Linked DNA regions of Rhinolophus ferrumequinum. The protein of the gene in region 1 purifies or fractionates together with the protein of each later gene. This does not show direct contact. Links are inferred from orthologs where the notes say so. Each region holds a gene or a part of one and is shown on either strand. Other genes may lie near its edges. The genes, in order: SETDB1, ATF7IP and FAF2.

The links.
Region 2: the proteins of SETDB1 (region 1) and ATF7IP purify together in Homo sapiens (affinity purification with mass spectrometry; 6 studies listed by BioGRID and IntAct, counting the BioPlex papers as one, with this or other methods). This does not show direct contact. The link is inferred for Rhinolophus ferrumequinum from reciprocal best matches to the Homo sapiens genes SETDB1 and ATF7IP.
Region 3: the proteins of SETDB1 (region 1) and FAF2 purify together in Homo sapiens (affinity purification with mass spectrometry; 3 studies listed by BioGRID and IntAct, counting the BioPlex papers as one, with this or other methods). This does not show direct contact. The link is inferred for Rhinolophus ferrumequinum from reciprocal best matches to the Homo sapiens genes SETDB1 and FAF2.

Annotation. Positions count from the first base shown.
Region 1 is NC_046305.1:51,057,098-51,064,626, reverse strand, and holds the start of SETDB1 (histone-lysine N-methyltransferase SETDB1), read right to left. Parts: upstream 3,081-7,529; 5' UTR 3,010-3,080; intron 2,988-3,009; exon of another isoform or gene 2,827-2,987; intron 1,846-2,826; 5' UTR 1,835-1,845; coding exon 1,575-1,834; intron 797-1,574; coding exon 645-796; intron 1-644. UniProt on the Homo sapiens protein: Histone methyltransferase that specifically trimethylates 'Lys-9' of histone H3. H3 'Lys-9' trimethylation represents a specific tag for epigenetic transcriptional repression by recruiting HP1 (CBX1, CBX3 and/or CBX5) proteins to methylated histones.
Region 2 is NC_046293.1:28,749,043-28,756,861, forward strand, and holds the start of ATF7IP (activating transcription factor 7-interacting protein 1), read left to right. Parts: upstream 1-4,767; 5' UTR 4,768-4,913; intron 4,914-7,819. UniProt on the Homo sapiens protein: Recruiter that couples transcriptional factors to general transcription apparatus and thereby modulates transcription regulation and chromatin formation. Can both act as an activator or a repressor depending on the context.
Region 3 is NC_046307.1:6,067,483-6,074,774, forward strand, and holds the start of FAF2 (FAS-associated factor 2), read right to left. Parts: upstream 3,021-7,292; 5' UTR 2,958-3,020; coding exon 2,895-2,957; intron 1-2,894. UniProt on the Homo sapiens protein: Plays an important role in endoplasmic reticulum-associated degradation (ERAD) that mediates ubiquitin-dependent degradation of misfolded endoplasmic reticulum proteins.

The DNA.
Region 1 (7,529 bases):
TAGCCATGCAATGAAATATCATTCAGCAGAAAAGGAACAAACTACCGACACATGCAACAATATGGATGAACCTCGAAAACCTTATGTTAAGTGACAGAAGCCAGACACACCACAGAAGACATATTGTGATTCTATTTATATGAAATTTCTAGAAAAGACAGAACTTTACGGAAAGAAAGCAGATCAGTGGTTGCTGGGGTAACCACAGAGACTGCGCACACAGGCTCGAGGGAATGTTTTGGGGTGACGCAAGTGTCCTAAAACTAAATTGCGCTGAAGTTTGCATTACTGTATAAATGTACTAAAACGCACACTGTACACTTACAGCGGGTGCAGTTTATCGTACATAAATTATACCTTAAAAAAAACTATTAAAAAATAGATAAAACCAAACAATGTACTGTTTTGGGATATATACATAGGTGCTAATGCCACCTATAAAAAGAAAGGAGGATAACCAATCAGGAAGTAGCGTGTAGGAGACACTCTGATACTAACAATATTCTATTTCTTCCTGTATCAGACAAGTCCAACGTTAGGAATATGGAGTTAGTGACAGTGGTTTCTCCTCTCTTCCATCTTCTCATCTTCTAGTGTTTCAATTTCAATTCTGAGACTTTCCGATCCACAGCTTCATCTCTTACCTGAATCAATACTGAGGACATCATCATCTTCATCAGGAATCTCAATTATTTCTGTAGGCCGGGAAGCTTCATCCTCGGAGCTACTGTCCCGGTACTGTAGTCCCAGTTTGGAGTAAAAGTCCTTCACCAAAGACTCACAATTAGTCACTGCCCTAATATTGGAACACATGTAGAAAAGGTCAGTAGGTGTAGAGCCATTCGAATTTATATATATTTAAGTATATGCTGACCTCAATTTAAACAGCCATATTCCAAAGCATCTCTGTTTAGAATAGAATGCTTTTCCCATAGAAAAATGTTTCAGTAGCGGTTTCCAGACTAGTTCCTCAAAAATCCACAGTAAGCCCAAAATACAGTCCTTTCAAACACATCTCATCATCTACCTTGTTATTCGAAAATGTGTCCTAAGTGACAACCAGGGCACCAGAAATAAATCTTCTAGGGCCCTAGGACCTTATTAATGCTCCAGTTACATAAGACAGTAACTCTTCACAATCCTCAATCCTCAGATGATCTTACTAAGAAAACAAAGCACTTGTTCTGAAGTAGAGCACAAGAGGAAGAAGGGAAGGGACTCAAGATCTGGCCCCTACTTCCGATCACATATTAGGCTCTGATAGATGAATATTCTATATACCGGGGGTGCCAAAAAAATGTATACATATGACCGTCCTCATCTTTTGTTATCAGTATATAGAGTATTACAATTTTAATACCGTTTGTTCCTTTCTTAAAATGTATATACATTTTTTTGGCAGCCTCTGTATATGGATGGTGGTGAGGTAAGATATTGGACTCTAACCTTTGAGGCAGAGTCAGGTTTTGCACATCTGTAGCTTGTAAACTATAAGGTGCGTGACACAGTGTCATGAACAATTATACTTTAAAAATGTCTGCCAATGGAGAGATTTCCTCCCATGCAGTCCTCACCTGGATGCATCATCAAAGAGCTGGTCAACATGGGCCACCTCAGATTCCTTCTGTATGACCCACGTCTCCAACTCTGCCAGCTGCTTCTTGCGCTGCTGTACACAGTCCATCTTTTCCAGTTCTTCATCGATGAACTGCCGCAGTTCTTCCATAGAGATGCCTAGCTCCTCAACCACTGCTTGCTGCAGCTCTGCAATCTCTTCGGACTCCACTGCAGCTGTGGCTGCATCCAACCCAAGGCACCCAGGGAGGGAGGACATGCTGTTGTCCTCTACATGGAAGAGAAAGCTAAAATTACCTCTGGAGTCATTATAACCGCAACAGAGAATTTCGGCCCTCTAATAAAACTCCTTTCTACTCCTTACTTGTTATTCAAATATAGTTAGGTTTGATTCTGGTCTCTCTCCCCATTCTCCACTATATGATGCTGAGATTCTACAGAGTTCTCATCTTACTCTATAGACTTTAAGCCTGAGTAAGATTTAAAAGTTTGAGAGGGCATATACTGTACAACAGGGAACTACTGGAAATAATGTTTTCGGAAACTCAAGAGAGCCGATTTACTAAGATATAAGCATTCCTCATAGATATTGTGGGTTGGGCTTCCAGACACCTCAATAAAGCGAGTATTGCAATAATCTTTTTGCTGGTAGAGGATCTTTGCCTTCAATTTCTAAAAAACGTAACACCTGTGAAGCGCAATAAAGTGCAATAAAAGGAGGCTGCACGCTATTGCCTAGCTTGAACAAATACCTCCAGTTGGAGAGGAGAGGTCGGTCTATCACTCACTAACTCACTGTTTTCTCTTTAATTAGCTGTTCTCCTTACATTACATGTGGAAATTTACTTTTTGAAGAGTCTATACTACTTAAGCACACAAAAGCTTGCAGCAACGAGATTTCTCCAAAGCAAGGGGAAAAAAGCAACCTGGAATAAAACGTGGCTACCTAAAACCTACAATCCAAATAACCCACACATTGATGTTAGCTGCCTTTCTGATCAAATGGTTAAAGCAAAACTGATGCCAGTACGCCGGGGGAACCCCAATGCCAGTTCTCAGCGCCTCCACTTTTCACTTTGCCCACATCCCGCCCCACCCCTGTGTTACCCATTGCAGGGGTGCGTCCCACGCTCCTGCAAACCCAGCTCAACCCCGCCCCCGCTCGCCGCAGGGGGAAAACTTCCTTCCCACCCTCACCCGACCTCCTCCCACAAACAAAACATTCCAGACAAGCCCTTGGTTTCCAAATACCTCAGTTAATGTCCCACACCTCCCTGCTTCCAGCTACAATAGCTCTTTTTCACCAACCAGACCCCAGACTCACGCCTCAGGGGTGGGCCTCTACGGGAGAGAACGAAAGAGAAAAGGGAGCAGGGGGAAGGTAAAAACGTGAGGGGAGGGAAAGGGAAGCAAAAGAGACGCCCGGAAGCAAACCTCAGGTGCCGTTCCGGTCCCGGCGACGGTAGCCCGATGGGGTCAAACCCAAAGCTTGCAGGGCAACCCTCTGAGGCTAGGCAAATTCAGGCGAGTACGCATGCGTCAAAGCGAGCCGTCCAGGGCACACGTGAGAAGCGATTGGCCAAGTAAAGTGGGCGTGGTCTGGAATATATTACAGAAGCTCCGCCTCTTCCACCCCCACACCAAATGGTGGCAGCAATACTGTTTGTTAAGTAAAGATTCAGTGGGTCGACACTCAGGTTTACATATTTTTCTCTCACTTTTACTGGCTTTTGTTTTATTATGTAGGTCATACAAAGTGTAACAAGTCAAGGAATAGCAAGATGTAAGTAATAAGAAAAACATGATAATATCCTCTCCTCTCTCAAGGCTTAACCACCCCTGCTCCTTTGAAGTAAAATACTAGCTTAGTTTTCTAGGCTTGTAGGTACAAGGTCATGTGTGTGAAATTTCTTTGTTTGTTTTGTTTTGCTTACATTTAACACGTGGACATCCCTTGAAGTCAATAAAAAGGATAAAATTTGTCTGCCAGTTGCATAATACTTCAAAGTTTGTCTAAACCATGTTTAGAAATTTAAATTATTTTTAGTTTTTAGCCACTACCAATAATGCAACAATAAACTTTAACATCCTTTTGAAGTAGTACTTCTATTTCTGTGGAAGACATTCCCCCGAATGGGATCTGAGTGTGGGGACAGAGCCAGAAGTGCAGTTTCCAGGCTCTCGGCCTCACGTGGAAAGGTGCTGGCTCAGGTAGTAAATGACCATCAACTGTGATTGGATAGCCATCAGCTGTGGCTAGTTGGCCGTCAGCTGTAACCAGTGAGCCATTGGCCACTAATATAACTGCCGTGCTTATGCTAGCAGCAGATGGGGGCTAGCAAGAGGATGGAGGCTGAGCTAGCAAGCAGGGATTGCAGTTAGCATGGCGGATTGCAGCTAGCAATAAAGATTACTTTATTGGTTGGCAGAGAGAAGTGGACGGCAGGTTGTGGATAGGGTGGCTCCTGCTTCCTGTGTCTCCAACCCAGCCGTCAGCGAGAATATAGTGGTATGACTCCCCTATCTGTGGCTCTGTGGGTGTTCCTTTTTGGCCTCACCATGTCCTGCGTTCTTATGTGGGGAGCGGGACCAGAGACCCAGCATGCCACCCTGTGTGTCACTGTAGTGCAGGGGATCCTGCCGACTACGCCAAGTGTCATGCGGGGCGTCCGGCGGGGTCTCCGGTCCCGCCCCCCACACAAGAACGCAGGACATGGTGAGGCCAAAAAGGAACACCCACGGAGCCATAGGTAGGGGAGTCACACCACTATATTCTCACTGGCGACTGGTTTGGAGACACAGGAACCAGGAACCACACAATTCTCAACCCTCTATGTGCCGCTTGCAGACTCAGCCACCATCTTCTTGCTAGCTCCCCCTTTTTTCTTTTTTCTCTTTGCTAGCCTCTTCCCCTAGCCTAGCCACGGCAGTTATATTCATGGCTAATGGCTCACTGGTTACAGCTGACGACCAACTAGCCACAGCTGCTGGCCATTTGATCACAGTCGATGGTCATTTACTACCTGAGCCAGCACCCTTCTATGTGAGGCCGAGAGCCTGGAAACTGCTTTTTGGGGCTCTGTCCCCACAGTCACACAGGAAGCAGGAGCTGCAATCTGCTGTCTGCTTCTCTGTCAACCAACTCACCCCACTTGGTAGCTGCAATCTGCCATCCACCTCTCTGCCAACCAACCAACACACAAGCATAGCCACGGCAGTTATATTAGTGGCCAATAGCTAACTGGTTACAGCTTATGGCCAACTAGTCACAGCAGATGGCCATCTACTCCCCGAACCAGCACCTTTCCACGTGAAGTCGAGAGCCTGGAAACTGCTCTCCTGGGGCTCTGTCCCCACAGTTTCTGTTAGATTCTTTCAGCTTTCTGACGTGTGTGGGTGGTTTGGGGTAGAAATAAGGAATGGGGAATGTTGAAGAGAAATAACAAGCTATTTGGGGCATCATATTCCAGTCTGATTTCTTCATTGCTCTGAGAAGGTTGAAACAATGAGACGTAGAAATCAGCAGTGGGATGCAGGAAGTGGCTTCTAAAAGCCTTGCACAACGGGAAGCTTGTGAGAGATTCTAAGTCGCTGGTCCCATTAAGGATGTACTGAATCAGAATCTGAATTTTAATAAGACCTCCAGGTAATGTGTGTGTTCACTAAAATATGAGAAGCACTGTAGGAAAGGCAAGTTTGAGCTGTGTAATCCTTTCTAGGGCAGGGCCAAGATTTGGCTTTGTTTTTGTTAAGATCTGAAGACGAACTCTTGTTGGAGATGATTAGGTCCTGTTATAAATGACTCACATTATTAAGTTGTACACCTTATTGACGTAGTTTATTGCCAGTTTAATAATATAAAGTCATAAATAACTGATACACCAATTGGACTATTCACGTTGGTGTGCTCAGCACATTCATTCCGGCAATCCATTGTGAAACATCACAACCACATGCTACTTAATACTTGACCACGAGAAGTCATAGCCCAAGGGCCAAAACCTTGGAATGCCAAATGATCCTTTCCCTATAACAGACTTAAGGGAAATTAGATCATAATCTAAAGGTTGCTGAGTGATCTCAGAATCAAAACAAAAGAAGAAAGGGATTAAAAACAAAGCGTTTCAGGCATCAAGAAAGTAAAGGAGCAAAATGGGGTGGGTGAGGAGTGTGGTCACCTGGGAAATGCATGTGTCATCTCCAGGGAGCAGCTGCTACTTAACTTCAGTTAATTTTTGTCCTGTGTGATAGATACAATGTTACCGGATCTCCAATTTTTCAAGGGACTTAAAAAATTCATATTTTTCTATGAAAACTTTCGAGTTTTGAATGTTGACAACTAATTCAAAAATTTTGTAAAATACTCTTTAAGCCAGCACTTCGACTTCTAGGTCATACATACGGTTGAAATCGCACGCCTTTGAAATGATATGTGCTAAATTATCTTCTGCAACATTGTTTGAAATAGCAAAATATTTAGAAACAATAGCAATTTCCATCAGCAGGGGGTGGTTAAACAAATTACGGCACACCCAAACTCCTGCTGTGTTTTTAAAAAAGGTTGAGGAAACTCTTTGTGCGTTGTTATGATGTTATCTTACTATTAAATGAGAAAAGCAGGTGCAGAATACGATACATAGCATGCTATTATTTGTGTAAACAGTGGCAACAATATACATATACCTAAAATATCACTGGAAGGAGACTTAAGAAATTAACACTGGTTGTCTCTGAAGAGGGCAAATGGAAGGGTGGGGGCAAGAGTGACAGTAAGGGTTCTCACAGTACACAATTTTATCCCTTTTGAATACTAAAACATAAAAGTAGTTTATTCACACATTACATGAAAAAGAAAAAGAACAGAAAACTGTCTGGAAAGATACACATACATGCAAAAACAAACTACTTTAACAGCAGTTACCCCTGGAAGGAAGGATTGGGGAACAAGGCAGTGTATAAGAATTTTGTGCATTTTTATCCTTAGGTAATAGTTTGAAAGCAATTTTTTTTTTACCATGTGCATTTTGTTACTTTTATAACATAATTTGAAAATGTTGACTCAAAAAAACAAATAAGAGAATCTAACGCACACCCACACGCGCTTTGTAGATGAACACTGGAAGGGGCCTGGCCCAGTGAAACTTCTCTGCAGAGCGACGGGATCTGTAGCTGACAATTTAAGGGGGAGAGGTGTGTGTGTGAAAGGAATGCCTAAGGACATCGGATTGGCAGAGATAATGTGCGCAGTAAAACCAGATAACGATTTGTGGGCGGCAACTCACTGAACCTTCACACAAGGACTATTCAGCCCCAGGGACTAGAAACGCCCAGTCTCCTGAATAGCATTCACTTTGGACCTGCGACTTGTTCCTCCTTCTCTGCTTTCACTGACGGTCTACTTCTTCTGAGTGATGCGTTTTTTTCTTAGGTAGGTTACTGGAGAAAGTTAGGTAACAGACCTGTGACTCTCTAGTGACCGCAGACTGATGCTCTCATTAATCGTGTGTTTGTCCTGCATTTTATTTTAAGGGGTATGGGAAACATTAATTTCTGAGTTTTTTGGGGGGCACACACTGTAGCCCTCATGTACTACATCAATCTTAATCTGATTTTGTTTTACCCTGACTGTCACCTTACCCTGGATTTCTTTTCATTAAATCAGGGTACAAATCGTATTTCTCTCTCTCTCTTTCTCTTTCGTAAACTCTAGTACCTCCATTGGAAGGCTTTGGTTCCCCTGCCTCCATTTTCGAATAATCCTGGGAATTTACTCTGCTCAATCCTGCTTCCAAGAGTTGGGACCAGAAACAATGATCAAGTCTCTGCTAACAGTGTGTGGTTAGAGTTACGTCTCCGAACCATTTGGTATCACTGCTAATGCCCGGTCCAGCATGATGCTGTGGGTCCATGTCTCCTCTAAAGTGACTTATAAGCTGGTCCAGGTCCCTGCCCAA
Region 2 (7,819 bases), on another chromosome or scaffold:
ACCTATGTATCTTGGAAGATGGTTTAGATACCCCTTCCATTCTCTGAGGACTTCCTGTATTTGTTTTCTATCACCAAGTTACAAATTACCACAAACTTGGTAACTTAAAACAATGTGTATTCATTATCTCAGTTTCTGTGTATCAGGAGTTTGGGTCTGACTTATATGGATCCTCTGCTCAGAGTCTCACAAAGATACAATCAAGGTATTAATTGGACTGCATTTTCATCTGAGAGCTTGACTGGTAAAGAATTTGCTTCCAAGCTCATTTGGTTTGTTGGTAGAATTTATTTCCTTATGGCTATACGATTGATGTTCGTACCTTTTTTTTCTGGTTGTTGGCTGCAGCCTACCCTCAGGTCCTAGAGGCTACCCAAAGATTCTATAAGCCACTTGTAGTAACTTTCCATGTGGGCTTCCTCAACTTGGCTGCTTAGTTCATCAAACCAGCAAGAAGAATCTCCTCAGGGAAGGCCCAATTCCTTTTTAAAGGGCCTTTTCCACATTAAGTCAGGTCCAACCACGATAATCTCTCTTTTGGTTGACTCCATATTGATATTTGGCACTTTAATTACATCTGCAAAATTCTTTCATCTTTGCCATATTCTATTGACTAGAAGCAAGTCATGGGTTCTGCCCACACTCCAGTGGACAGGATTATACAGATGTGAACACAAAAAGGTAAAGATTATTTTAGAGGTCTGTTTACCACACTTCCTATTCCCAAGAGTTGTTTCTTGAGTTTTCCCAGGTTTGCCTACTTAACACTTCAGTAAACTTCTCTGCAAATTGGAGGACAATAATATAAATTATCAGGTTGTAGTTAATTCATATTCTTTCTTAATGGTAGTGTCAGATGTGCAGATAGAAAGTGCTCAAGTTAAGCTATATCTGTACTATTACTATTCTAACAAGTACTGTTACTACTATTACTATTATTACTACTACAATTACTATTAGCTAACACTTATTGAGATATTACTATAACCACTATTGCTCAAAGTGGTTGACCAGAATTTAATCTTCATAAAAACTTTTATCAGATAGAAGCTATTTTTTATCCCATTTTATATTTCAGGAACTATTTGCATAGAGAAGTTTAGAACATGCAGCAAGTAAGAAGTAGAGATAAGATTCCAATTCAGGTAGTAAGCCTTCAGAGCCCATTTTTGTAAGCACTATTATTAGTCTGTCTTTCATGTTATAGTACTTAGAAACTTCAGTTTTCCTTTTCAGCTATTTCTTTTTCCAGTTTATTCTATTTTTTTTTTAATTGGGGAACAGTGTGTTTTCCCGGGATGTCAAGGCATCGTTTTCAGTCTAGTTGTACAGGGCGCAGCTCACTGGCGCATGTGGGATTCGAACCGGCGACCTTGGTGTTATGAGCAGTGCATTCTAACCACGGAACAAACTGGTCGCCCACTGGTGGCTCAGCTCCAAGCTTAAGCAGCTCCAAACTCTCACTGGTCCACGTGGGAATCGAACCGGTGACCTTGGTGTTATGAGCACTGGCGCTCCAACCACTGAGCAAACCGGCAGCCCACCTGCAGCTCAGTTCCGAGTTCTAGCCATTGTTTTCAATCTAGTTGTGGAGGGTGCTGTTCACTGGCCCATGTGGGAATTGAACCGGCAACCTTGTTGTTAAGAGCTCGCACTCTAACCAACTGAACCATACGACCGCCCCAGTATTCTATTTTTCAAAAGTTCTGTTTTCCTTGTTTAATTTCTGCTCAATTGCTACAACTGAAAATCATTTATGTATGTTTATTATTTTAGGTTGTTTTGGGTTTTGGATTTTTTTTTTCTGTCAGAAGTTCTGAGATCTTGTTTTATTCAGGCATTTTTTTCTAGAAGCATATTCAGAAAGTATGTATAAATAAGGCCATAATGGTGAGTAAAATATGGAAATCTTTCAGTTGTTCTGTGCTAGACCAAGCAGTTCCAATCACATACTTCCACTAGAAGTATTGTATCCCTTATATCCCCACCCCTGAATATTCCTCCTACCATTGAGTCCACCTCAGTCCCCAACTAAAGAACCCCTGAACCTCTCCACAATCCTACAACTAGAAGATTAACATCTTACAAAGTAGGGAGTGTTCAAGCCTGCTTCTATTCTAATTGGTCAGTTGGTGCCACAGGGATTGATAATTATTTTGAACACCATCTTACCTAGAAGTTGAAACTATACCTTTTTTCATTCTTCTGTGTCTTTGAGTTTCTGTTTTATCTAACTTGAATTCTCTTTGTTTTGTACTTATTCTGACAACCACTTTCAGTTCTACATTATGAGTCAGGTCAAATATCACCTTTTCTATGAACTTTTGCTGTATACTACGAGGAAGATTTAGGTCCTCCTGTTTTACATTTCTTTTATACTTAGTGTATACCTCCATGACAATACTGATCTCATATTGTTTATCTGTATATATGACTTATTCCCCATTTAGAAGCAGTGTCATTTCCTGTGGGCATCTCCAATGCTTAGAATAGTATGTGAGTACATAATAAATACTATACTTGTTGAATGAAGAAACAATTGAATTGGTTAGGTCAACCATCAGGTAGAATAGCTGAAGAGACTATAAATGTGTGGTTGAGAATATCTGGGGACAGTCAAATACAATAAAATTGTCTAGTTGAAGACATAGGGAGACAAGTCTAGAATATCAGCATATCTAAGAAAATAGATCAATTGTTGAGTTAGTGCTGAATTATTTTTCCCTTTGCCATTAGCCTAGACAGTTGAGAGTGAAGTATTATAAAAATGATTCCTTTTTACTTGCTTATAGAAGATATACAAAGAGAAACCTAATGGATTCTATTATCCCAATCCCATTTCTCTTACTATAGAATGTAACGTTTAATATCAATGTCAATATTTACAATTTACTGAGCATTTATTTTATAATTGAGCACCTATAACTAAATTGTAACATAAATTTGTTATAATTGAGCCTCTATTTGAAATTTATTGAACACCTATGTACAATTTTCTGTGCTAAGGACTTTACAAAGCTTAGCAATTAAGCAATGCAAGTGTTATTTCCTGACTTAAACCTTTTAAGTGATTCCTCTTTGCTCTCACAATAAAGTCCAGCTTTAGGCAAGAAATCTATTAAACCAGTTCTCATCTTAGAGATTACCTTTTAGGAAGGCATTACTGATTCTCCAAATCTGGATTAGATGATATTTTTTTTTTTTTTTTGTAAGACTTTTTTTTTTTTCAATTGGGGAAGGAGTACAGGACTTTATTGGGGAACAGTGTGTACTTCCAGGCCTTTTTTCCAAGTCAAGTTGTTGTCCTTTCAATCTTAGTTGTGGAGGGTTCCTTTCAGCTTCAAGTTGTTGTCTTTTCATTCTTAGTTGTGGAGGGCACAGCTCAGTTCCAGGTCCAGTTGCTGTTGCTAGTTGCAGGGGACGCAGCCCACCATCCCTTGTGGGAGTCGAACAGGCAATCTTGTGGTTGAGAGAATGCGCTCCAACCAACTGAGCCATCCAGGAGCTCAGTGGCAGCTCAGCTCAAGGTGCCGTGTTCAATCTTAGTTGCAGGGGGCGCAGCCCACCATCCCTTGTGGGACTCGAGGAGTTGAACTGGCAACCTTGTGGTTGAGAGCCCACTGGCCCATGTGGGAATCGAAAAGGCAGTCTTCGGAGTTAGGAGCATGGAGCTCTAACAGCCTGAGCCACCGGGCCGGCCCTAGGTGATATTCTTAAAAGCCACCCAGCATCAACTAAGTTAAAAGGCCCAAATTATAACAACCAGTGTCAACCACCCTGCACTAGTTTCTTAACTATTTACAAAACCTGTTTACTTTTCTGTCTTCTCCACTATAGTATAGATTTCTTGAGGACAGGCGTCTAATATAGGTCTGGAACCCAGTGATTGCTAAATACTGAATGAATTGATTAATTTAAGGGAGAAATTACATTTAAAAACAATAACCAAACTTTACGATCTATTTGTCAAGCTTTTCTTGCTTTGCATAACACACTTACTCTTATCCTATCTTTTTGCCTTCCCAGCCGATTTGAACTACAGGTTTTATCACCATTTTAGAGATAAGAAAACTGACTAACACACTTATTCCACGGAACAGGCAAGTAAGCAGAAGTACTTGGGTGTAGGCCCAGATCTCCCAAAGGAGTAGAACCTTCTCCACTACCTCCTGTGGCTTTCATTAAGGGTTGGCTCCCAATATAAAATTGCATATAAGGAATACAACTTCTAGTGGAAGTATGTGATTGGAACTGCTTGGTCTAGCACAGAACAACTGAAAGAAAAGATGTGTTTTCGTCATTCCTTCATTACTTATACTTAGTATACTTAGTGAGTTTTTAATATAAATCAACATACTCCAGCATTTTTGAAAATCTTCCCCTCGGCTCTTTAACTCTCACCTACCTGTTTCCTTCCTTCCTTCTAAGACTCATAGAGGGCGCTCAAAAAGTGCTACTCACTGGTCGAAGGAAGTTCCACTGAAAAACACCTCACACTGCAACTGAAAGGCACAGCGCCACCACCTCAGACTTCCTTCTCTTTTCCACGACAGGAGGCGTGGCCAATTTCCCTCATTCAAATAAAAAAAAAAATAAGCCAGGCGATTTGCATGGGAAACGTCCAGTCCGTGAGCCTATTGGCTGATAGCACAGGGGGCGTGGTCAACATTACGACCACTGAGCCCCGCCTACAGTAATTTGCATAACGGCCCCGCGCGTGCAAGGGAGAAGCGGGTTTGTTTTTGAATCTGCGGCAGCGCGGCGACGGCGGCGCGGCGGCGGCGGCAGCGGCGGCGGCGGCGGCGCGGCGAGTGAAGTGCGCGAGACTGAGGAGGCAGCATTGGGGACGGCTACGGGAAACGGCTCTCTGGGAAGGATATTGGTTCCCCCGTCCTCATCTCGCGACCCGAAAGGTATATGTGCAATCTAGGGGCTGTTAGAACCATATTTTCTTAAATTACTATTGTATTTCTGAAGAGTCAAGACCGCATTATGGCGGCTGCGGGAGTTGTGTTTGCGCCTGCGCGGTTGCGGAGCTGCGGGCGGGCGCTGCATGGGAGCACGTGATCTTGCGGGTCCGGCTCTAGCTGCAGTTGTGCAGCTGGCGGGGCGGTGGCTGCGCAAGCGCAATATTCATTTTCAAGATCTAATGTTCTTGCTGGACGCCATTTGGGTTCTAGATTTAATTTACCTCCTTCTAGAGGGGTTACATTTTGTTACCCTCAAATTCTCACATTTTTCAGGGAAAACGTTTCTTTTATGTTGTACTTCTGTACTGACCTCAAACTGTTTTCTTATATTTCTCCGATTCTCTGAGAAGCTCTGAGAGACTTAATTTTCTGTAAAAGTGATCGTCACTTGTGGTTCTTGATTATAATTTCACTTTTAGTGTGTTGCTGGATTCCAGTTTATATTTAGGGAGATAAAGATCAGCACCTAGTGGTGTTCTCACGGGAAGTGCATTTATTTGAACTGCATATTTGCAATTATATTTTTAACCCTGTTTTACCAGTGCTGTTATGGAATGTTTACAAAAGAGAAACAATTTGAGTTTTGGAAATATAAGGAGGTCTTGTTTAAGAAGTAATCTTAATCTCCTTGGGTGTTTATTTTTTAAAAATGTTTGATCCTAAGTCAAGGAAGTTTCAATTTTAATCAGTTTGTGTTCCTCTTATACATGCATTTAAGTTTTACACTTTTTCAGTCTCTGGTCACTTGTCTATTACTGCTTCAGTTAGATCATTTTTGTTACTCCTTAAAAATTAAGCCATTTTCTTAGCATTTTGTTTGTTATGATATATAAAATATAACACTTGGTACATTTTTCTGATAAAAAACTCTGCAAAGGTCTCCCACCTACACTGAGGCCATGATGAGGAAGTGAACCATCAATAAAAATAAAAACAAATTAGCTGATTAAAAAAAAAAACTGCCCCATATACATACGTATGAGATAAAATTGTTGTGTTTGATCTTGTTTAAAGTTATAAGTGTGTTCCTGTTTTTACTTTCTTAAAGAAGGTAGTTATAAGTAAGTCACTGATTATTTTAGTTTAAAATGGTAGTGTCATTATATGTAAATCTTATATAACACCCCTGGGAGAAGTTTTATACGATTTACTATAATTCTACCATTGTGCAAATTATTTCTTACTGTTCTAAAAACTTGTAAATGGTTTTCATAAACTTCATTTGTGGTTTGTATATGTAACAATTGGTTTTCTGGTTGGTTATATAACTCAAGTTTAATTCAGTCACCTGCCAGATGAAGAAGTGGTTATTGCTTTTTAATCTTGGTTGCTTTAGGGACGTTTTTATTGCCTAAAATAAGTACCATTACTAAGTATTAAGATGTAATTGAAAGGAATACTTGTGGTTGGTGGATTTTTTTAAAAAATGACATTATATACGAATATGAGATAGAATGGAGTGATAGGAAAAAATTCCTCTTTATTCTATTCTGACAATAAAAAATTGTCGTTCATATAATTCCTGGACTTCTGAAGTCTTCTACACAGAACAGTATTTAGAAGGCAGTTGTGTAATCTTCCCTTTTATACACACCCCTCCCCCACCTCCTTTGACATTGTTTCTGGTGTTTTTTAGAGTTGAAAATTTGTTTTTTCTGTATTAGTGAGTATGTGTATACACATAGATATTTAAGTTAAGAAAAGAACTTTGATCTTAGGGCGTGGTAGACTTTGCACTTCCAGAAAAGTGAAATGTTTTGGTATATCTATCTATCTATCTATCTATCTATCTATCTATCTATCTATCTTTTTTTAAATTTAAGTGTGTTTTTCCAGGACCCATCAGCTCCAAGTTAAGTAGTTATTTCAATCTAGTTGTGGGGGGCGCAGCTCATAGTGGCCCATGTGGGGATCGAACTGGCAAACTTATTGTTAACAGCGCCGCGCTCTAACCAGCTGAGCTAACTGGCTGCTCCTGGTTTATATATTTAAGATGATGTTTTTATTTGAATATACAAATGATTGCCTTGTAGATTAATGTTAAGATTATGAGGTACTTGAAAACACTGAAGAACATAATGTACAATGTAAATATGTATTGATAGGTCAATTTTGCTGTCATGTTTGTTAAAAAGGCAAATACAATTCTATAAACTTAAAACTAAGACTGAAGAATTGTCTGAATATCCACTATTTGTTTATTTGTACTTTATCAATAACAAACATGTTTTGAAATTGTGCTTTCATAGTTGTGATGCCACAAAATTTTGACACATATGCAGCATATATAAATATTAAAACTAGGTCACGCTACGCAAGAATGAAAGTGATTGGGGTCATTTAAAATCTTTTTAGTTTTATGAGTTTAAAGCCTCATAGTATTTAGTTTAGAAATAAAAGTTTTGATGGGGCGGCTGGATGGCTCAGTTGGTTAGAGTGCGAGCTCTCAACAACAAGGTTGCTGGTTCAATTTCCACCATGGGATGGGCTTCGTCCCCTGCAACTAAAGATTGAAAACAGCGACTGGACTTGGAACTGAGCTGCGCCCTCCACAATTAGAGTGAAGGACAACAACTTGGAGCTGGTGGGCCCTGGAGAAACACACTGTTCCCCAATATTCCCCAAAAAAATTTAAAAAAAAGAAAAAGAAAAAAAGGTTTAAGTCATAAACCATTAAAATAGTCTTTTTTTCCCTTTAAAGTGTAATTTGAATGCATGATGGATATATTTAAATATTTTTTACTTATTATAGCACATTTGAAACATGTTGAAATTAATTAGCATTTAGAAATAATTGCTCTAAAAGTTTTGGTGATTTATGTGACTTTTCCATGGTTGATTATTGATCA
Region 3 (7,292 bases), on another chromosome or scaffold:
ACAAGGATAACTACAAAAATCTTGGAAGACATCAAACGGACTGAGAAGCATGATAAACATATCCTAGGGAGTTGCAATCAAACCACATGTCACAAAAATGTGAAAGAGACGAAACCTGAGATTTCTAAAATATTTTACTTTTACTAATTTCAATATATCAAATGAAGCAACATGTTGAGAACCAGCTCCTAGCAGTTTCACTCTGTTCTGTCCCAACCCCTGTGGGGATTCCAAGCGCATGCCCCACACTCTTAGTGAAGCAAACCTGAAACCTAGTGTTATGTCACTCCCGAGTTGAAAAAAACCTGTGATGGCTCCCATGCCTACAGGTTAAAATTTAAACCTTTCAAAGGCTTTGGAGGCCCTGGCTCTAATTTACCTTTCCAGTCTTATTTTCCACTTCCACTTCTAGAAACCCATCGCAACAAACACATTCCACACTCCATCTCCACACCTTGCTTGAGCTGTTTCCTCAGCTATGAATCCTCTCCTCATGTCCTTCACCTGTTGAAATTCTGTTCCTCCTTCAAAGTGGCCAAGTACAGTGGGTGCAAAGAGCCCAGCCTTGAAGTCCAGAGCCAGAACCACTAGATTTCTAACTCTAATTCCATCTCCACTACTTAATAGCTTAGTGACCTTAAGCAAATATTTCAATAGATCTGTTTCCTTACGGCACTTTTTGCAAGGCTACTGCGAGGATGACAAGCACAAAGGCACAGGAGATACTGATTAACTATTAGCCATCCTTCTTTGCCCCCTTACCCCCACCAGTGCTCCTATCGTTCCCTAAATCCCCACAGCGCTTAGTTTACACCATACCGCACTAGGAGCACTAACACACTGCACGGTACTCGTTCATGTATGTATGTGGCTTCTCCATTAGCTTGTAGACCAAACAGATGGTTATGGGTATGGATCTCTAACTCTCGGCCACTTACTCCTTGTGCAAGCTACCTGACCTCTCAGAGCCTGTTTCTTCATCAATAAATCGACGCGGTTAACACCTTATGGTGTTATTTTAAGAGGTTTGAAAGAGTTAATGTACATCAAATACCTGGTATAGTGCTTGACACCTAGTAAATTTCAAAGAACGTTTAATGGCAATTCGGATGATGAACCTGATCCAGCAACTGCTTAAAGAACACATAAATGTAAAATACATTTGCCTTATTAAATCCAATTTCATAACGCAATCTCAATTCAACTTTAACCTGCTACTCGCCTCTCTTACTGAGAGATGTCCGATGACGACTAAAACAGAGGTTCCTATGCACTTTATCTCAGAAATGCTAGCACGTAATCATGTTCTCCCACCAGCATACTACCAAGTACATCATGACTTACAACTCAGAGCACCACGTTACATTTAACAACAGGGGTCTTATCCCTGAAACGCTGTAGTGGGTAAAACGATCTGCCAAAGTTAAACAAAACTCTGCAATTAGTGGTCTACCAGGAAGTGGAAGCTGTTTATTCATTCTGATTCTAATTTACCGTGTCATCCATTTCTCTACTCAAAACTCCAATCAAATGTCAACTACTTCCAATAGTATTTTTCCACTTATAGGTACACGTCCAACCCCCTGCTCATTTTTTCTGATGTATAATTAACACACAATATTCTATTAGTTTCAGATATCACTACTCAGTTGAAGAGAAAAAAACACTTCAAAATCAATTACGGTAAAATCAAGGAAATTACAGAAAAGTGAGAAGTTGTTAAAAAAAGAAAACAAAAAACCCAGTATCACAGCATTTGCAGTCCACACTCAGTTGAACACTGATATTTATCCAGGTTGTATAGCACACAAGTCAAGAGCTCAGGAAAGGTTCTAGAAAGATGGACCCAGCTTTAAATCTGACACCACCACTTACTAACTAGCAGTGCCTGAGCACTAAGGTTGTTGGTAAGTAACTGCTGAAACGAATAAATATTTAGCACATTTTTACATTAGGAAAAAACGTACCACAAACTTTAATTCTTTCCTAAGTTAAATAATGATTAATAAGCAGCAATACTGTTTGGGAGCATTTTACAGTTTACAAAGTCCTTCAGACATCCATAAACTCATTAAATCTCCAGAACACCCTTAGGGAGCAAACATTTTTAAGGTGTATATTTTAGAAACAATAAGGAAACTGGTATCAGGGTAACAAAGAGCCAAGGTTAACCCACCCTGGTGGTCTCCTCCACCCAGATTCTCCATCAAACTCAGAGAAAAGTGCTTAGTGCCAGAAGTTCTCAACTCCACACCCACTGAGGCCGATTTCTGCAAGTTACCATCCTCCTCAAGCACAGTCAAGCACGTGACTTCAGGACTAAGCCCAGGGTAGTAAACCCTGTCAGAAGCCACTGATGACATTTATAACGTAGCACTTGTCTCCTTACATGGTGTCCTCCCACACCTTTAGGGCGGGAGCCAGGCCCGCCCTTCCCCCACCAGAGCGCCCAACACAAAACCTGGCACCTAAGAAGCCCTCAGTAAATGTTTGTGGAAATGGCATGGGATGCTGGCAGCAGGTTTTCCAGGGACCCGAAACGAGGCCAACTCCGCGGTGGGGATTAAGCATCTCAGGTAGATTCAGAGTCGTTGGGCAGAGTGTCCGACCGGGGAAGGATGGCGGAGGACGGGTGCCGCTAAGGGACATCAGGGAAGCTGACTCGCTGACGGGAGAGGGGAAAGGCGGGTATGGCAGCAGCCAAGGCTGAAGGCCGAGAACCGACAGAGGCTCGGGGGCCAGGGGCAGCAGGGCAGTTGGCGTCTGGGGGGGGAGGGGGCCGCCTGCTGGTCTCAGAAGCAGCTCGGACCCAATCTCAGGAGGGTTCTGGGCTCCTCTGGGGGCCCACTCCCCAGCCCGCGGCGGCACTGGCTGCACCGAGCATTCGCTGCTACCTGAAACTGCAGCAGCTTCTCTGTCTGCTCCTGGGTTAGATCCCGCTCCTCAGGCGCCGCCATTTTGCCGCCGCCTCTACGCTTCTGACCCGTCCGCACCGTCACTCGCCGGAACTGATCTCAGCAGCAACCACATCCGGTCGGAACAGCCGCTGGCGCGCAACTGCATCTGCGCGTCCTGGCCCAGCAAGGAGGGGGTAGAAGGGGGTGGTGGGGTGTGGGGGGTGGTGAGAGTTCTTACCGCCAGAGGGCGCCACTCTCAGACCTAGCTCGAACACTTCCGGAAATTGCCGAGGGCCTGTCGAGACCAGTCGCCCTCACAACCTGGACAAAGAAGGGATCTGCTAAGGACCTAAGACTCCTGAAGAGATCGTAAAGAGCCGAGAAGTCCCGAATGCTTCTCGAGAAGCTCCGGAAATTCCCGAATGCCACAGAAGCTTCGGAAATTCCCGAATCGGCAGATTTCGGCTGCCTCTTAAACGTTTTCCGGGGATCTCCGGTATTCTTGAATGTTTCTAAGGAAATTGTGGCCCTTCCGAAATATCGTTTGATGTTTGACTCCTGCCCTGACGTTTCCAACAGTTCCTCACCATCTCTCGGGAGGTTCCGAAAGCCCCCGAATACTGGTTGCGCATTTCCGACGCCGCCTTCAAGTCCGAAGCCGTTGAAGGCTGGGACCGCGGGAAAATCGCTGCATGGAAGTTGATTGCCAGGATTATTTGGACTTGGCCACCTGGGTCTTTGATGTTTAATTGGCCTACCAGCCTTGGGCGAAGCTTTCCGTCTACCCCCGTGCGACTCTGCTCCTGCTGCCCCAGGCCTCGCGTCTCTCGCCCACTGGCCTGTCTTCCCTGTGACCGACCTAAATAAAATCCCGGGACTGGGATCAGATTTGGGTTCAAGTGCTAGCGCCCACCTTGCAAAGTGATGTACATCTTGGGCACACCACCTCCTCTCTGCGCTCCGTGTTGCCATTGGTGGAACGAGAATCCCCAGTAGCCCCTGACGTGCGGCCTCAGCGCATTCCTTCTAGAATGCAGTCCGACCCTCACCCTTTGCACGGCCTTAACCCTACCCCACACCTCAATGTCTGCTTTCCTCTGCGCGCTCCTTGTCCCTTCCAACCTGCCCCCTCTCTTTAGGTCTCCCTTTTGCGTTTCCACCTCTTTTCTCCTGCCATCCGCCTCCTCTGGCCACTGTCCGGAGACCTTGGGGAGACAGAGGGGTCGGGATCTGACGCATGCTTTTCCACAGACTCCTCCTGTGACTCCTAGGGGTAGGGGAGAGTTGGCTTTTCTCCGCGCGGTGTCCAGGGTACTTGGCGACTCGAACAAAGAATTGCACGAACGAGACACAGAAATAAAATGGTGAAAGAATAGTTTATTAGAAACCATAGTACACTCCAAAGAAATAGGAGCGGACCCGAGCAACAGAGAATGGATTACACTCAACAAGTATGAATCACAAGTTTTAGGGTAATTATCTAAAGCAGGGGTAGGAGCTAAAAACCTGGGGAAAAGGAAACTTAAAATTTCTATAGGAAAGAAAAAAAGTGTTTCAGTGGGGGGGCCTAGGGGGGTTATTCGTTGGCCCGTATCACTAGCACGGCCCCAGTGTCCTCACTATCTGCAGAATCCCACCCCTGCCCACTTCACAGGATTGACCAGGTGAGATAGGACAAAGAGCTTTGAAAGCTAAGTCTTGTGAAAAGTACATTAGGTTTTGGTTACTTCCTTTCAGGCCTGTGTCAGGTCTTACCAGGTCTGCACAAACCTCCATGTCCTGGAATTTTTCTTACACCTTTAAGGTAAAATTGGATGTAAATAGCTGTGACTTTAAAGAATTTATTACATCAACTCAAAACATCTGAGGAGACGTACTGGTCAACATCTCCAATAATGCTCAACCCAGACAAACTGGGGGCGGGATGGCAAAGTCAGATGCCCTTCTGGATTTATTGCGTAATTCTAATTTAAGGTGTACTCTTTTAACAGACATACTTTGTACTTACATTAAACACCATTGGATGTTTTTCACTTTCTCAAAGACACATACTTGTTCTTGTTCTACATTTCTGTTTTCTTCCTTGAATAAAGACAAAGTTACAACAAACAATTTTCCTTTTTGTTGTTGTTTTGTTTTTTTGACTCTTCCACAAGAAATTGCCTCAGTGTAGGGCATACAAAATGGCAAACTGGGGAATCCCTTCCCTGTGCAAAAGTGGTTTCTGGTTTTAGTGGCAGCTGATGGCTTCTGTGTGAGACCAGTATTGCCAGAACTTCTCATTTTTAAAGAGCACCGACGAATTTGGGTATGCATGTGAAATCTCCCTGCTTTAAAATGGTGATAACTCAGTTTTTCGGAAAAGTACTGTCAGTCAGCCATAATTGCAAGCCACGTTTCACCCCATGAGCTCCAGTCTGCCCCTCTGACCTGAGCAGAATCCTTCTTTGCCATGGGAGTCCACACATGCCTTGGAAGAAAACTAAGATTTTTTTGATAAATTCAAGATGAAGAGCATGGAAAGTGTCATCAATTATAGGCTTGATCTCTCCTTTGCGAGCATTTTTCGCCCTTGGCCTTTATTTTGTCTTTTAGAGCAGTGCTATCCAATCAAAATATAAAATATCCACATGCATAATTAAAAATAGTCTAGGAGCCACATATAACAGGTGAGATTAATTTTAGTAATATATTTGATTTAACCCAATGTATCCAAAATACCTTTTGTGTGTGTGTGTGTGTATTATACTAAGCCTTCAAAATCTGGTGTGTATTTTACACTTACCCCACATCTCTATTTGGACTAGCCACATTTCAAGTGCTCAATTTCCACATATGGATAGTGGCTACTGTATTGTAAATGCAGTTCTAGAGCATTCCAAAGATCTTTTTAATAGATATATTAATTATATTCATCCACAGATTTTAGGAATTCATTCAACAAATATTTATTGAATGGCTCTGGACCAGATACTACAAAAGATAAACAGGACACAGCCGCTGCCCTGTAAGAACACACAGTTTAATTGAAAATTAATCTCATCATTCTCTGGAAGGATGTGTGTGTATGGGGGAGGTTTCTGAGTCCCAATTTTATGCCTATAACACACTGGAATTTGTGACTGAGAGGTATCTCCGAGAATCTAATGAATATATGTTTCTCAAATCCTATTAATAAGGCTTTGCTGACACCTTACCATTTTGTTCCTAATAAAGGACAAATTCTGTCCTGCGGAGTCCTGGAAATCCTAGAATAAGCTCTCAATTTCTGAGCAGTTGGAACTTACAGTGTTTCCTGTCAGTTAGGGACGTGGCCTCTTCATTGCAGGCCATTGAGATGTCAGCAACAGTTTTCGTTTGGCCTCCTGCCCCATTAGGTTACTCGTTATAGGTTAAGTGAAGCCAACAGGAATTAAGGTGACTCAACTAAATTCATCCAAAAAAGTAGGAGCAGAAGTGAGAAAGGGAATCCCCACACTCATTAGTACTATATGATAGATCCTTAGATTTCTGCTAGGGGTATTTAGGCTGATGACACAAAGTAAGGTTTGGAGGCAAAGTTCTGCCTTAAATAAGTCACAAAGCCCATCTCATGTTCTTCAGGGAGACCTGAGGACAAACTCTGATGCCACCATTAATTGATTGTGTACTTTGGCAAGGAAACCTCTCTAAGCCTCAGTTTGCTCATCTCTCAGCTGTAAACAGACTAATAGTCCCTACCTCACGGGTCATGGCAAGGATTAAATCATTTTTTACAAGTAAATCAGATCCTGTCACTCCCCAGCTCGGAAGTTTCCATTGGCTTCCCGTTGTCCTCAGAATAGAACCCAAGCTCCTTTCCAGGGCCTACAAGGCCCTGTGCGATCCTCTGACCTCATTCCAGGGAACTCGCTACTTGCAAGCCTTGTTGTTCTCATAATCCCTCGGGGACTTTGCATTTGCAGTACCCTCTGCCTGGAGCACTTTCCTGGAGTTCTCACAGGGCTGACCCCATTTGACATCCAGATCTCAGCATGTGTAGGCTGCATCCTCAGAGGAGACCTAAACGTTTGTTTTCTTCAAAGCACTTAAATCACTAGATGATATTATCTAGTTTACCGTTTGTCTCCCAGCTCTGCCCTCCATGAAGGGAACAGAGGCCAAGTTGGCTTGGGCCACCACTGAGTCCCCAGGGCTAGGGACTGCACTGGGTACAGAGTACAAGGTCTATAAATATTGGGACTGGCTAGATCCTTAGAGCAAAGACCTCACGAGTGTGGGTGGACTTATGAGAGTAAAGCCATGGGAACTAAATCGGGAAATATAGCTACTGCCTGTGGGATAGAGAGGGATGGTCTTTAGAGCATCTCAAATCAAAAGATAAAAGGACCACCTCAGTTTTGGACGATGGGAGAC